Linked DNA regions of Arabidopsis thaliana. The protein of the gene in region 1 interacts with the protein of each later gene in a pairwise test. Each region holds a gene or a part of one and is shown on either strand. Other genes may lie near its edges. The genes, in order: GIP1, LBD18 and bZIP68.

Region 1 (5,723 bases):
CTCACCTTATACTCCACATCTTCAAACTGCATATAAATAAAAGAGGCGAAACCAATAAGCTTTGTCTTAATGAAGGAAAATCGAAAGCAAAAGAGAAAGTTGAACCTTGAGAAAGATGGGAAGAGGGGCATCTTCGAGAGGATAAGTGGAAACGAACTCTTCATCAATGTCAATCTCGGATGAGTATTGGTTTCTGAGGTAAGCTTGTGGCATGAACTCCATGTTGTGAACTATGCCATTGCTTCCTGTAATCTGCATTACATGATTCTCTTCAACTTCTTCTGTTGATCTTCTGATCTCCATGTTATCTTTCTTATTCTTGTTCCACAAGAAAATTGTTATGAATGTAGGCTTGTGTTATATAACGGAAGAAGTGTGTGGATCAACTGTGTCAAACCTGAAACTTTCTTGCTTTTTGTGTTCTCTTTTTCTCTCTGTTTATCAGGGTGTTAGTTTGGTAGACCACATTCTTTCAATGTTTTTGTATTAAATTGAATGCATTTGTTGACTTGAACAAGGAGCAAATGAAACTATATTAATTTCAATATACTTTATATGGTACTAAAATCATTTACATTTATCGACTTGGCTTGCTCATTGACGATCACAACGTACGAGAATAAATGTCCACTTGCTCATATAAACTGATCACTTGATTATATTGTAAGATTCGGAAGAATTACAGATAAACGAGATCAAAGCGGTTTGTGGCACTCACAAAAATTGAAAAAACAAAAGGCACCAATTCTCTTGTCCCCTTGCCAAATACTAATCTTCTTCTTGGGGGGTGATGTATCCTAAGTATGTACACAAAATCACTCAAAATTCCAGACTTAAACATCTCGTACCAATCTGAATATGCATCTTTCTAGTAATACTCCTTGACCTAGTAGTTGTTTCCCAGATTTGTTCGTGCAGCTTGAGGTTGCTGATTAGTTACGTGCGATGGTCCTATGGGTTCAGTCCTCGCAGATATAGATAGAGGCGCCAGTATTGGCTGTGTTTGTTGATATAACCCACGGATCCCAGCCTGCATGGTTGGGAAAGCTATAGGCTGACCTTGAAGGGATAAGTTGTACATGGGACTGGCCTGCAGATTGGCTAGACTCTGCTACATGGAGCCGTGTTAAAAAACTATAGCATAACATGCAATGACAGTGGGGAGAGTCAGAGAAAAACTAACCAGTGGTCCAGTTGTGTACATGTTTTCCTTCTTTTCTTCCTTGTGAGTAGCATTTATGGTGGCTGCTGATGGGATGTGGTTGAAGGCGTATGAAGTATATGAGAATGGAATCGTGGTAGGTGGAGAGTTTCCAATGTCGCTTCCGGGTTTGATGTGAGTGAGAGGTAGTTCAGCCCCTGGAGGTGCTGGAGCATCATCTCCGGGTGGTAAGTAAGACTGTTGTTGGAACCCATTTGGGCTCAAGTACTGGTGAATGTATGGTTGCGGCATATAATAAGGGGGGAAATATGGACCATAAGGGAAATAGTTAAGAGAGTATTGTTGCCTATAAAGGTGCATTGCCTGTTGAGCGGCTGCTAAGGAATACTGATCAGGATAGGAGATAGGTGGAGCATCACACTTTGCAGCCTGCAATTATCAACAAAATATAAAAGACAGTGATTAAGCATTGTGTTCATATTTCCTGGCTAGAAAAACCACGCGGTTGGCCTGATGCTGACAATGAATGCACAAGACTAAAAAGACATTGTGTGGGGCTTCTTGATAATAACCAACCTGATGAGTGTCTGTGATTGGTAAAACCTCGTTCTTTACTTTATCTCCTTCTGAACCTTCTTCAGGGAGAACAGTTTGATCTGGCTGCAATGTTAACTCGTTCTGAGCTGCTGAATTTGAAATCTCATGATTCTTATCCTGAGAAAAAGTTGATATATCTTTCCTGCAAACCAAGTTTCATATAAAGGTATTCATATCAGAAACTCATTCATCTGAGACTCTAGATCAATTCATGAGAATATTGAAGCAAGTAACACTGTAAGATTTACTCAAAGTAGCTATTAGTCACCAACCTAGCTGATGCGGCTGTCCCATGAGAAGACTCAATATTGGAGTCATCACACCCAATAGTAAACTTGTCAGAAGATGCCTCTCTCACAAAATTAGAATCGAAGCTCCCAAATGTCAGACCATTTTCCAGCATTTTGGCAACCTGAATGTGGACAGGAAATGTTACGTGCGGCCGTTCACCAACATCCGACTTGAGAAGCGACTCATTCTTGCATTTACTGGCTGCAACCTCACTCTTAATGACTGTTCCAAATAAAGCCATACGTCGAATCACATAAGAGGCTGTAATCAAACTCAGGAACAACTTAACAGAATACAGAATGCACTTAAAGCAACATTAGCAGGCAAGTAATTATATGGTATAATTTATACCTCGCTCGGACTGTTGTGGGATCTGAAAAGTTTCAACTACAGCATATTGAGTATCGTTTTCTACAACAGAATCTGATACAGCCACTGATACACTACTTTCTTTAGACTTATCCGGCTCAACAACATCCTTAGAAGAAGAAGTAGCCTTGGAGAGAGGCTGTTCCTCTGTGTCCACCTTGTCCACAGGGGATATGATAGCATCTTGAATTTTCTGGTTACTGATTCCACTTGGAAGACTTATAGGGTTCGGGGCCCTGAAAAAGAATAGAATGCGTTAGGAAGCCCATATCCAAAGAGGGAATTAAAGACATAGACAGAATTAAAAGTATGGATACATTATGGAAGAAGGTTTTGTGTCGTTTCTTGCATTGTTAGGAGCAGACGAAGCAGTTCCAGAACCTCCTATTATGTGATTAGCTCCACTCTGCTTTTTAAAAGCTGCACTTCTTCCATTACTGGCATCTGAATCAACAAAGAGCTTGAATCAAGGAAGGAAATATAGAACACAAGTTTAGAAGTAAAAGAACATAAACCACAATGACCTGTGTAACTTGAAGCAAAGTTCTTCCGTCCAGTCCGGCCCCTTCCTTGTGTATTTGGCACTAAATTCTACAACAGGTAATACACATAAAGGCATAAGAGAAACGAGATGATGTAAGCTAAACAGAGAACTCAAGACCACACTTAAAATGCAAAGTAAGGATTCAAAAGAACATAGGAAAGCTACCTCTTTCTTTCTCTCCCGTTTGCTTCTCACCTCATGAAATGTATCTGAAAGATCAGTAATAATATATGAGTACATGTCTGCTATCAAAGTACATGATTATGTTGATCTTGAAACAGTAGACAGAATCAAAACTTAACCCAGATGCCCAATCTCAATCAAAGCTAAACAGAAATTCCCTTTCCACATTCCAGCTAGATTGGTAAAGATTTAAAACGACAGTTTCTTAGTCATGAACCCAAATTCTACATATTCCATTTCAGTAAAAAAGATTCCTTATTTGAACATCCCCAGACATATTATACCAATTAGAAATCTAAATAAACAAAACATAAGATTCTAAGCATAACACACAGATTCTAAGACAAGACCAAAATCGACAAAGGGCATTAAATAGCAAAATCCAAAACAAAACCCTAGGAGAAGCACACGCTCAATACAACAAAAAGGAAGTAAAAACACTAAAACAAAAACAAATGCTGAAGCTTTCTCAGTAAAACAACCTAAATAGAGAAGCTTCTGAGTGGTCTCATGTGGATCACTGAAACACTCCTTAAAGACAGAGAAGATATCCTCGTCGGAATGTTGTTTACCGGTAACCTCTCTGATGTTTTGAATGGTTTGAAGCAGATCAGCCGGAATAGAAACCCTAGAGCCGCCATCGCCGCTGATCCTGCTCATGTTGGTTACAGAGAGAAAGAGAAGCGGAGGGAGGAGGAGAGAGGAAATATGGGTTGAACATAAAGACTTCGTATATAGTACTATTATTTATTTCCGTACAATCTACCGCTTAATGTCTCTCTCTACGTATATTTATACGCTGACGTCACTGTTTATCAATTTCCTCCTCATTATTTGATTGAGTACTATTATTTATTTCCGTACAATCTACCGCTTAATGTCTCTCTCTACGTATATTTATACGCTGACGTCACTGTTTATCGATTTCCTCCTCATTATTTGATTGTTTTGTACGCGTTTAATGGAAGGAGAGACAACAAAGTTGATATGGCCGAGTTGGTCTAAGGCGCCAGATTAAGGTTCTGGTCCGAAAGGGCGTGGGTTCAAATCCCACTGTCAACAATTTACTTTTTTTTTTTTTGTCTTTTTACAAGAATAGGAAAAATAGACAGCTGTGTAAAAAAATATTAACTTTGTTTTGTTTCCACAAGTCGATGTCCAAATTTAAGAATATATATATATTACACGATTTAGCTATCTCCTCTAATTAGATGAAGAGACATCAGATCTTATCAAAACCCTAGCTTTCGGTGTCTCTCTCGATCCTTTAGCTCAATCGAAAACTGAATTTAGGAGCTGCGATGGGTTCCAGATCTCGTAATGATAATTTCCAGTCCGGCGATGGCGCTAGTCCTGGGTACGTTTACTTCTCCTACCTCTTGCATGTTTGATTCCACAGGATTAAGGGAAATATCTCATAATCTGTTGGCTTTGTAACTCTTTTTATATTGTTGGTTAAGGTTTAATTTATGTTTTGCTTGGAATTTTTGTGTTGCAGGAAAATATTCATTGGAGGATTGCACAAAGACACGACTAATAGTAAGTTTCTTCCTCTTGTTTTGTTCTAGAAATTGCGTTTCTAAGTTTTGTTATGTTATGGATTCTTGTGTGTGTTTCTGATGTTAGACCTGTTGGAATGTTGATTCTACTTGCTCACTTTGGTTTTGATTGCAGCTGTGTTCAATAAGCACTTTGGCAAGTACGGGGAGATTACAGATTCTGTCATTATGCGAGATCGACATACTGGACAACCTAGGGGTTTCGGTTTCATCACCTTCGCTGACCCTTCTGTTGTTGACAAAGTTATCGAAGATACTCATGTCATCAATGGCAAACAGGTCGGCCACTTCTCTTTTCTTCCTTCACTAGCTTATAGTGTTCATTTTTAGTAGGGTGTTGGGTCTTGATCAATACTTTTTTCCTTGTTTTGATGGAACAGGTTGAGATCAAAAGGACTATTCCGAAAGGTGCTGGTGGCAATCAGTCAAAGGACATCAAAACAAAGAAGATTTTCGTTGGTGGTATACCCTCAACGGTTACAGAAGGTAGACCTCCCTCTTGGCATGATATTTTTTTGCTTTCCATGAGAATGCTGGTTTCCTGTCCTTATTGAAGTTGGTTTCTTTTTCTGTTGATCAGATGAACTTAAGGACTTCTTTGCCAAGTATGGGAACGTGGTGGAGCACCAGGTTATTCGAGACCATGAAACAAACAGGTCCAGAGGTTTTGGTTTTGTAATTTTTGATAGCGAAGAAGTCGTAGATGAATTATTGTCCAAAGGAAACATGATCGATATGGCAGACACTCAGGTAAGCTTGTACAAATGGGGATTAGAATTTTGGTTCATGATGACATATTTATCTTGGTTTCAATTTGATATTTTCTCCTTGTTCCTTTCATTATACACGTTTAACTTAGTTAGAATTCTACCCACTAGCTTACCAAATGTAAGGAGCTTGTCACAGTAAGATAGGAAATCCCTGCTATAGTTTGGGTCCTTAGCATAGCTAGGTTAATTAAGTTGCTTTGTTGTAGGTGGAGATCAAGAAAGCTGAACCAAAGAAATCTCTAAACCGT
Region 2 (4,649 bases), on another chromosome or scaffold:
TAGTTTCGTTTATGTTTTATTTTAGGGTGTTGGGCTTCAAAAACAATTTACATATGTCTCTTTAGTAAAACTTAATTTTGATCGATTACACTAAAATCGTCAAGACCAATTTTTCTTTCAAACACTTATACAAGTAAAAACATCCTCACCAAGGAATTTAGAACTTGAAAAATATCCACTACCAAATTGTTTTAGATAACATCAGGCCCGTAAAGATCATCATGCGATACAATCTTATATATATTACCAATTACCAAATGACAATTTCGTAGGAAATATCTTAAGAAACTACACAACTCCAATTGATATTGTAAATCCAGTCCCGTGGAAATATCTTCTATAAAGAAAGAATACAAGAGAAACCCAACTCTATTAGTGAGTAAGGATATTTCTCGAGAAGCATAGTGTAAATTCACTTCGTGCTCTTTGCAGATGTTGATGTCTGTTTAATTCAGCCATAAGACCATAACTCTGTAATTTACTTCCTCTTTTATTCTTTTTTGTTGAAATGTAAGGGATTAAAAAAGGCTTGACAAAAGTAAAAAAGTTGAAGGTCAAAGCCCACAATATGAATGGGCCTTGCGAGAAAATGCCCGAGGCAGAAATAAGAAGATGGAGTATATACAACTGATTAGGAAACGTATGTATGACTCGGGATATATTCAAAAACTTACGTAATAGGAGAAAAAAAGTAAAGGCAAAGAAGAAAGAAAATACTCGTCAGTCAAAAGAAGTGAAAATACAGTAGTAATACAATATAAATGTTAGAAAATTTATAATCAGTACTTTCAAAGAAAATTAAATCTTATTGAGTTGTAATTTAATTTTCCTAATAACAATGCGGAGATGTATCGATCAAAACCAACTCATCTAGACATAGTTCGAGACGGCGAGTGGTCGGTAGCTGCCGGGGGAGGAGATCCTTGTCTATGGAGGAGTTCATGTGCTAATGCTTGGAGGTCATGACTGTTTTCACCACCGAGCCCCACGGCGACAGAAGAGGAAGACGATGATACACCGTATTGGTGACGTGGATCAATGAATCTTCGTTGTTGCGTGGCCCATGCCGAAGAAGACGTCGTTTGATCGAAGATGGATGCTAGGTCATAGGTTGAGGGCAAGGGTGAGACTGATGCAGGTAAATCGGTTATGGCAAGAGGGGGAGGAGGAGTGAAAAAGAGCGGTTGCGGTTGCGGCATAGGCTGTGGCCGCGTTTGCGGTTGAGGTAGCTCTAGTGATGCCAAATGGGCTTGTAAGTAAGAAACTTCTGCCTGTAGATTCACCACCTATGTATACACTTTACGAGTTAGAATTTGTTTTGCATGATATGTAAACATATAGGTTTAAGGCTAAACCTGTACTTTTCTGGAATTTACGTAAGAATGCGATTAATGGCTTACAATTTATTGCAAATATTATGCACTTAGTTTGATCAGTGAAATCTCTATCTCTTACAGTAGTTTTTTATACGCTTAACGTGATAGCTTAATTATCCTAAAATAGTTTTTTTTGTTTTTTGTTTTTTTAAGAAGATATCCTATAAATAGCTAGTTAGTACGTGTTATTTTAAAATTTATGATTTCATGTAATTATCACATTTCTAACAGTTTAAGCAATTACCTGTTATTCACCTTTAACTATAGCATTCAGGAATGGAATTAATGCATGTTCGATTTGCTAAGGTTGTTAGGCCACAAATTATGTAAACTATTAACATAAATAGTAAAAAAATAAAATGACACGCATCATATAAGATCATCCCCTTATTACACGGTTAACAAAAATTGCGAAGAAACAAAATGATTTATCTTCAGTTTTCACAAGAAAGAAAACGGTTTTTAGTGGAAAAAATATAATGGTGTATATACGTATCAACACAGAAAATTGTACCCGACCAATTCCCGAAAACCAGCAAAACAAAACTTCGTAACTTTGCAATGGGACTTGTCACGACCGTATCATTTTTATATAATTGCATAATAGATTATATTAAAAGATTTCATAAGTAATTAAACAGACAACCATGCTTTTTTTTTCCTTTATACTCAAAGTAGAAGATTGCAAAACCAAGAAAACTCAAGAAAGTGCAAACTCTCGAAAAACTCGACGATTTCATTTCATGCACACCAAAAAATTGTTCATACTAAAACGAATTTGCATGAGTTTAAAATTATAGATTATTCCCAAACGAAACCGAAGTTTGCTACTTTGGAAAAGAAAAAGAAAATTGTAACTGTCACCAAAATAAATTGTGGTTAGTTTAAGTCAATTAGTATGTTTCACATATATTGATTTCCAACGCATTTTACTATTGAGAAAAAGTTTAATAAATTATTAATTACCTGTTGCTGAAGAGCAAAGATGTGAGCGACGCAACCGTAGATAGGATCCCTTATCCTAGCCTGAGCTTCATAGCAAATTGTTACGACAGCATCGGACCTTCGATGAACCGGTATGTGTAATAGAAGCTTCGAGACGTTACTGGCTCCGAACACTTTATGCACCGCCGCAAAATAAGCCGATCCTTGCTCGGAGTCAAAGTACGGTGCAAATATACATCCCGGCACACACTTCCTCCTTAGAAACTTACAAGCACCACATGGCCCACCACCACCACCGCCACTACTTCCTCCTCCCCCACTGCTGCCTCCTCCACCACAACCACCACCTCCGCCTCCCACGGCAGTGATTGTGTTCCCACCACCGCTCATGACCGGCCACCCCCCAATTAACGAGTTGTTACTCTATCTCCCCACTCTTGCGTTAGGGTTTTAAACTTGTTGAGTAAAAATATGGAGATTATGTTTGGTATTGTTTGAAGATGAGAGGAAGATTTGAGAAACGGGAATCAAGAGAGGAGAATTAGGGTTTGGTAAGAGGAGAGTATAGAGAAGAAAGTCTTTAAAGCCAAGCGACGACAAAGCTAACAAAAAAAAAACGATCTCTCTCTATTTTCTCTTTTTCTCTCACATTTAGTTGTTTGCGTGAAGCAAACATGCGATAAGCCTCTTCTATTATTCTTTTTCACAATCTTTAACTACATAATTATATTATTTATGAATCAAAAGAGGAAAAAAGGGGGAAAATCGTTTGATTACCTAATATCCCTTGGAACATCTCGTGATAAAAAAAACTATTTTCCAAGAAAAATAAACTTCTTGCTTTCTCTTTATTTACTGTGAATATACATGTGAACTGTAATTGTTGGAGATATCTCATGAATTTAATTACGAACAAGATGGATAAATGAAATAAAATATTATACCCTTAATTAAGTTTTTTTTTGGCATAGTTTTTAAACTATTGACTTGAGGTCCAACTTAAATTAGCCATCAAACACTAAAATTTTACAATTTGTAACTATTGATAAAATAGTTATATATATATATATACATGGCGTGTATACAAAATGCCAGTTCTTAGTTATTTTCTTTAATGATTCGATTTTTCAAAATTTTATATTATCGGAATAAAAACGCAAAAGCTTATGTAATTGAAGAAAGACCTTTTTGATAAGAAGAAGAAAATTCATAATTAATTGATGAAATAGTTAGTTACGCTTACTAGAAAATGACTCGTTCGCCAACTTATCTTTCCAAATTTATAAAAAGAGCATTAACTATGTTAAATCATTCATTCTAAGTTAAAATGAGCATTCACGTTTTCCAAAATCAAGTGTAATGGATTCGATTCCGGTTTAGAAACGAGATCAGAGTGAACCGGGAGTCAAAATGTCTAAATTTCTCGGTTTGAAATGGAAATAAAACGTAGTTACGTGTACCAACAACAAAAGTACACATGTCAATAATGATTGTAACTGCCTAGCGAGTGAAAGATCGAAGAAACGAATGACGTCATTTTTCACGTGGGTCCCACGCGCCGTTCCCTTAGAAAGTTAGTAACGCCTCTGTGCTTCCTCAATGTCTCCTCCACGCGTATGTTTTTCTTAAATGTGTAATAATCCTTCATTTTATTAGTAAAAAAAATTGAAGTTTGTTGTAATTTTTTTTATAAAATAAATACTGTTAAATAAATGAATGAAAAAAAAAATGTTAAGCTCTTGAACTTGAGTTTCGTATTCGAGTTTTAGATTTAGGTAAAAATATGGTTGACCAAAAAAATTGTGTTGGGCATGAATGCATAACAGCATGAGTCAAAAGACAATTCTTGCTATCATATTTATTTTTATTTTTTTAGTTTATTGATTAGTCATAAACATCGTCGAATTATATAATAGCGTAATAAATTAGAGATGAGATAGTGTAGGAGGTGGAAGTGACATGGTACCTCAAATCTTGGGGATATATGTACAGAAAGGGTCGACCATTTTCGATCAAACATAAACTATTTTAGTTCACTATATTTTCTCTTAGATTGTTTCTTGATATATATGATATATAGCTCATTATATAGTTAATTAAAAAAATAAAATATAATTAATCACTTCGCTTTTGTTGATGAAACTTTTTATTCCACTCGTGCAGTCAAACCCTAAATCTAACATTCTCGTCGAATTTGGTAAGGAATATATATAAGGATTGTATAAATTGATCTGTCTTACAAATTAATAGACGTAATTTAAAAATTATATATACACACATGCGTTGTTTAACCATATATTCAAATTGGGGGTTGATCCTATCATCCTA
Region 3 (5,667 bases), on another chromosome or scaffold:
AAAAAAAAAAAACGCATGAAAATGAAATCATCAATTAGTCTTCTTCTTTCCTTCAACTAGTAGAGATACACCTTGTTGGTTCGCTTCCTCTTACTCTTCCTCTTCTTATCTTTCCTTTCATGTTCTGCATCTTCTTTAAATTTCACTAAACTTGGAACATAAGAGCAAGAGCACACAAATGGTGAAAAAGAATAAATGCGGTCTCCGACCTCCACAGATTCTTGTGGGTTCACAACTTCATCAAGATCAACTTCTTTCAAGCATCCATAATCTCCAATGATGTAAGCCGTATTGTTGCGTTCAGATTCGTCTATATCAAAAACCACGACGATTTTCTTCTCTTCGTCAATGAAGAAACTGCCAGAATCATCGTTAAACTTTAGACTAGTGAGTGGTTCCATTTCAACTGCTAAGAATTTGCTCCATGACACCGCATTCGGCTCTATCTTAGTTGTCACCCATACCTCCATCTCATAGGTATAGCAGCGCTGATATAAGACCGCAAGTTTCTCTCCTTTAACACAAGATAGTCTCCCAGTCTCTATAAAATCATGCGAAAACGACAAAGAAAGAAGTGGTCCAAATTTCTTTGTTGTAAAATCAAAACCGAGTAAGCAATCATACCCTTCCATTACTTCTCTTCCCTCAGTCAAAAAATAAGCATTTCCATTTAACGACGCGCCGGGCTGATAACATTTTAACCCCTTGTTGGGAATGCCATAAAAACAATCCCATGAGTCAGAAGAGTTCATGTCGTAAATCTCGTAGTAGCCTTGTTCAGAAAAAAACCTCAAGATCATGTGGTTCTTGTTGTTGTCGTACCCGAGAGCATATGTAACGCCTATGTGGTAATCATTCCTAGTTTTGATCCAACGAATTTCTCCCAAATACGGGTTCCAAACTACGAGCTTGCTTGAGTGGTTCCTTGTGACGCATAACAATAAACCTTCGCAATAAAACACTTTAGATATCTCGACTTGATTAAGTAAATTACCTATTGGCTTTATAGATGGATCAATGAACTCTTCACTGTTTTCATTGAGGCCGATTCCATGGAGATTGAATCTCATGGAATAAAGCCTATGATTCATTATCGTGAACCCTAAAAACTGATTTCTAGCTTCTGTTTTACATAAAATCCGGTTCTTGGAAAGAACGTTCCATAGTTTGCAACTAGATCTCACTGCTTTAAGAGAAGTTATCGGAACCCTACACAATATCTCTTCGACTAAATCAAGTGAAAGGTCGGACATCATCGTCATTGTTTGCAAATAGAAAATTAGGGTTAACTTTCACGCCCACCACTCTTTTTTACGAGGATTATATGTGCATCAGAAAGAAGACACACCTTCCTCACTAGGGTTTTACTTTTTCTATACAAAAAAAAATTCTTACTTTCATAAGATAAATAAATATGTGGTTTATTTTGCAACAAAAATAATAATATTTATGTGGTTTATAAATTATAATCGATATTAATTGTTAAAAGTAAAAAACTTTCTCACTAAGTTAGTAAAATGGTAATTTCCTTTTATGAGAAAGCATTCTTGCTAATTGCTATCATCGGAGTTATTAGTTTGTATCGACTATGGTGGATCTTACACATATACGTATTTGTTTTTAATATGATAGGAATACTACTATCTTCTTCTTCTTCGTGAGTCTAATAATCCTTTATTAAACCCTAGAATTCACACTATTTCTACTTTTTCTCTATCGAATCCCGTAAGCCTCACGTCAACAATAATCCGGTTTAAATCTGGTTCACTATTTCTTCTAAATTTGTAAGAAATAAAGATCTTTATATGTAATTGATAAAATGTGGGAACAGCAATGCAATTGATAGGTTTTATGGGGTTAATTGCATAAATAAAAGAAAGATTTGGGCTTAATTTTAAATGATATATTCCCTGTCAAGCCCACGCAGCTTCCTCCTCCTCTTCCCCGTCAGAAACACGACACGAACCAATCACCAAAAAATTTCTACCTCTTTTGATTCTAATCAATCTCACTCCAATTTCTGCAAAAATCAAACCTTTTTTTTATATTCATTTCACATCTCTGTTTTTCCTCAGATTCCTCAAACATTACAGATCTTCAGGTAATTTTTCCCCTGATCTATAGTTTTAATTACGTTTGAACAATAATTCAGTAACAGTTTAGTTTCTTACATTGCATAGATTCTGGAATCGGTGTAGTTCTTTAGATTTTTTGTTATCGTGGCATTTATTAACTAAAAAGTTACGTTTTTTATTTGTACCCTGAGATAAAAATGTGACCTTTTTAGCTTCCTTGGTTTTATCAGTTCATATGCTTAGGAACTGTATTGATCAATGTTAAGTTGGAGAAATCTGATTGTTGGATTTTGGTAGGTTTTCTATTTATAAGCAGAACTTGTTCTGTTCTTGTGTGAAGCTTTCACTGGTTTTGGAAATTGGTGAATGTGATTAATGGGTAGCAGTGAGATGGAAAAATCAGGTAAAGAGAAAGAACCTAAGACTACACCGCCTTCGACTTCTTCATCTGCTCCTGCTACTGTTGTTTCACAGGTTTGCTTTTGGTGTAAATTTGGTCTAGCAAAGTGTTTTTTGTTAGTGTCATGCTTTGATGTTTAATGTTTTGTGTTTTTAGGAACCTTCTTCTGCTGTGAGTGCTGGAGTGGCTGTTACTCAAGATTGGTCTGGCTTCCAGGTCTAATACGAGATTATTCTTTGTTTCTTTGTTGCATTTTGGTGTTATGGGGTTCATGTTTTTCTTGTTGAACAGGCTTATTCTCCTATGCCGCCTCATGGTTATGTAGCATCAAGTCCTCAACCTCATCCTTATATGTGGGGCGTTCAGGTAAATCGAATTTTTTTAGATGATTTTAAGCATTCTTTGGAGCTTCAGGGGATTAGTTGACGAGTCCCAAAACTTTTACTATAGATATTTGCATACTTGGGATAAATTCCCTTGGTCACTTGTGTAGATTTAATCGAGATTAATATTTTCTACCATATATAGTACGTTAGGTTAATGAATGAATGTAACGACAACTTAAGACATTGTTATTTCCTTTTTGTAGCATATGATGCCGCCTTATGGAACACCGCCTCATCCGTATGTTACGATGTATCCTCCAGGTGGCATGTATGCTCATCCTTCATTACCTCCGGTACTGTTACAGTTTGGATGTTCAGTTATGTTACTCAAAAAAGTGAATGTTTTTGTAGTTTCTGTTAACATGTTCCGTGCTGCAACAGGGGTCTTATCCATATAGTCCCTATGCAATGCCTTCTCCTAATGGAATGGCTGAAGCTTCTGTGAGTTTTCTCTGTTATCACTGTTTTTATTAGAGTATGGGTCAGATGGGATCTTGCTTGAAGAATGTTTTGGATTCAGGGTAATACTGGAAGTGTTATTGAGGGTGATGGTAAACCATCTGATGGGAAGGAAAAATTGCCAATCAAAAGATCAAAAGGAAGCTTGGGAAGTTTGAATATGATTATAGGAAAGAACAATGAAGCTGGAAAAAACTCAGGAGCATCAGCTAATGGAGCTTGTTCTAAAAGGCATGTGACTTCATATTTGTATGAACATCATATTGGCATGAATACTTATGATTGCTAGCTCTAGCTATGATAATGTTATTGGATAATTTTGTTGAAATTGTCTGATTTGTTCTCGGTTTAACAGTGCTGAGAGCGGTTCTGATGGATCAAGTGACGGAAGTGATGCAAATTCACAAAACGTAAGTTTCTAGCATTTCATTAAATCGTTGCGTTGGATTTCATATGAAAATTAAGGAGCGTTTATGAATATGGTATTGATTTTTGTAGGACTCTGGCTCTAGACACAACGGGAAGGATGGTTAGCTAATATAGCTTTTTAGTTCTCATCTCTTAACATGTAATAATGACGTACATGTTAGAATCTGCTTATTTTGAGGTTTCTCTTTCTTGTTTCGTAATTCAAGGTGAAACAGCTTCAGAGAGTGGTGGTTCTGCTCATGGACCACCCCGTAATGGAAGTAATCTACCAGTGAACCAGACCGTCGCTATCATGCCAGTGTCGGCTACAGGTGTTCCAGGCCCACCAACAAATCTAAATATCGGAATGGATTATTGGAGCGGTCATGGGAATGTTTCTGGAGCAGTTCCTGGAGTTGTAGTAGATGGTTCCCAATCACAGCCATGGTTACAGGTTTCTGTAAGTATCTCCTAATCTTACTTCTCCTTTACGTTTATCCAAGCAGCGTGTTTGATTGTTTTGTGAAATCAGGATGAGAGAGAGATTAAGCGACAGAGACGGAAGCAATCCAATAGGGAATCTGCTCGTAGATCCAGGTTGCGTAAACAGGTAACATAAACATGTTTCTTCAAGCTGATCTAGCATCATCATGCCTATCAAGTATGAATGATCAAAAGCTTTTCCTTTTCTCTTCTGTGTTCAGGCGGAGTGTGATGAGCTAGCACAACGAGCAGAGGTTTTGAATGGAGAGAACTCAAGTCTTAGAGCAGAAATTAACAAGCTTAAAAGCCAATATGAAGAGCTTCTTGCTGAAAATAGCTCTCTCAAGGTAAAAGATTACAATAAAATCTTCTTCTACAACATCCATAATCTGCTTGAACATAAATTGAAAGTTGCTGTTTTCTCTGGTACCCGTTGTTGCAGAATAAGTTCTCGTCAGCCCCGTCACTGGAAGGTGGAGACTTGGACAAGAACGAGCAAGAACCACAGAGAAGTACACGTCAGGATGTTGCGTAGACGGCTCGTGGTTCCTTCCACAACTCAGCTTGACTCAAGAACAGCAGCTAACAGATATATGTAATTTTAGGAACCAGATTTGGTGTGATTTCTTTAGTGTTTAAATAGGAGGAAGCATGAAAAAAAAAAATAGTCTCTTCTTTAACAAACTGTGTATATCTTTTCTTCAGATTTTGGACTTTTTTGTCTCTCAATAAAATGAACTCGGAACTCTAGACACATTGAGTTTAGCGATTGCGTTTAGCTCGAGTAGAGAAACGCAAACGCTAATCTTTACTCTTTAAAACGCAAACGCGATTGCGTTTTGTTTGTGAGCCACAAATTTCGGAGTCTTCTTCTCAATCTTTGAATACTTTTTCGAAATATCAAAAGAAGGAACAAAAATGCAAGCCATCGGTAGCAGCCATGGCAGGAGGCTCTGCTTCAACCACTATCTCTCCGATTCCTTCTCCAAATTCCTCTCTCCTTCTTCTTCTCCTTCCCTTCTCCCTCAGGTAACACTCTCTCGTTTCCGCTGCGAAATCTGTGGAAACTATCTCTACTAGGTTAGGTTTAAGTGTAGAGTTTTGAATTATCGAAATTGTCTGTGTAACTGTTGATGAACCAAATCTCTGAATCTCTTGGGTTTGATGTGTAATCTTAATTCCAGTTTTCTTGTTGCTTTCGTTTGTTAAATTACAGAGATGCCATTCGTTCTGTATCCCCAAGCTTGGAAGTAGTAGTACCAATGAGAATGGCAGAGGAAGAAGTGTAACAGTGAGAGCTTCAGGAGATGAAGATTCTAATGAGAACTTTGCTCCTCTTGCTCCTGTTGAGCTTGAATCTCCTGTAGGACAGCTTTTGGAGCAGATTCTTAGAACTCATCCTCATCTTTTACCCGTTACTGTCGATGAGCAGCTCGAGAAATTCGCCGCGGAAAGC

Evidence for each region.
Region 2: the proteins of GIP1 (region 1) and LBD18 interact in a two-hybrid assay, tested with the Arabidopsis thaliana proteins (one study listed by BioGRID).
Region 3: the proteins of GIP1 (region 1) and bZIP68 interact in a two-hybrid assay, tested with the Arabidopsis thaliana proteins (one study listed by BioGRID).

The regions. Positions count from the first base shown.
Region 1 is NC_003074.8:4,250,401-4,256,123, forward strand, and holds GIP1 (GBF-interacting protein 1), read right to left. Parts: upstream 3,879-5,723; 5' UTR 3,807-3,878; coding exon 3,629-3,806; intron 3,173-3,628; coding exon 3,129-3,172; intron 3,011-3,128; coding exon 2,944-3,010; intron 2,864-2,943; coding exon 2,737-2,863; intron 2,656-2,736; coding exon 2,402-2,655; intron 2,273-2,401; coding exon 2,032-2,272; intron 1,902-2,031; coding exon 1,739-1,901; intron 1,592-1,738; coding exon 1,184-1,591; intron 1,109-1,183; coding exon 887-1,108; 3' UTR 558-886; downstream 1-557. Other genes in the region: ABCG26 (ABC-2 type transporter family protein), read right to left, coding at 1-26, 106-303; AT3G13224 (RNA-binding (RRM/RBD/RNP motifs) family protein), read left to right, coding at 4,448-4,503, 4,645-4,685, 4,821-4,984, 5,086-5,191, 5,286-5,455, 5,682-5,723. UniProt on the Arabidopsis thaliana protein: Plant specific protein that enhances G-box-binding factor (GBF) DNA binding activity. May function as a nuclear chaperone or lever and regulate the multimeric state of GBFs. May contribute to bZIP-mediated gene regulation.
Region 2 is NC_003071.7:18,716,663-18,721,311, reverse strand, and holds LBD18 (LOB domain-containing protein 18), read right to left. Parts: upstream 2,965-4,649; 5' UTR 2,712-2,964; coding exon 2,343-2,711; intron 1,287-2,342; coding exon 867-1,286; 3' UTR 583-866; downstream 1-582. UniProt on the Arabidopsis thaliana protein: Involved in the positive regulation of tracheary element (TE) differentiation. Involved in a positive feedback loop that maintains or promotes NAC030/VND7 expression that regulates TE differentiation-related genes.
Region 3 is NC_003070.9:11,563,572-11,569,238, forward strand, and holds bZIP68 (basic region/leucine zipper transcription factor 68), read left to right. Parts: upstream 1-1,922; 5' UTR 1,923-2,101; intron 2,102-2,372; 5' UTR 2,373-2,450; coding exon 2,451-2,549; intron 2,550-2,631; coding exon 2,632-2,691; intron 2,692-2,766; coding exon 2,767-2,841; intron 2,842-3,064; coding exon 3,065-3,154; intron 3,155-3,242; coding exon 3,243-3,302; intron 3,303-3,381; coding exon 3,382-3,551; intron 3,552-3,675; coding exon 3,676-3,730; intron 3,731-3,818; coding exon 3,819-3,849; intron 3,850-3,955; coding exon 3,956-4,188; intron 4,189-4,260; coding exon 4,261-4,338; intron 4,339-4,432; coding exon 4,433-4,558; intron 4,559-4,653; coding exon 4,654-4,746; 3' UTR 4,747-5,074; downstream 5,075-5,667. Other genes in the region: AT1G32140 (F-box family protein), read right to left, coding at 72-1,262; AT1G32160 (beta-casein (DUF760)), read left to right, coding at 5,130-5,240, 5,428-5,667. UniProt on the Arabidopsis thaliana protein: Transcriptional activator that binds to the G-box motif (5'-CACGTG-3') and other cis-acting elements with 5'-ACGT-3' core, such as Hex, C-box and as-1 motifs.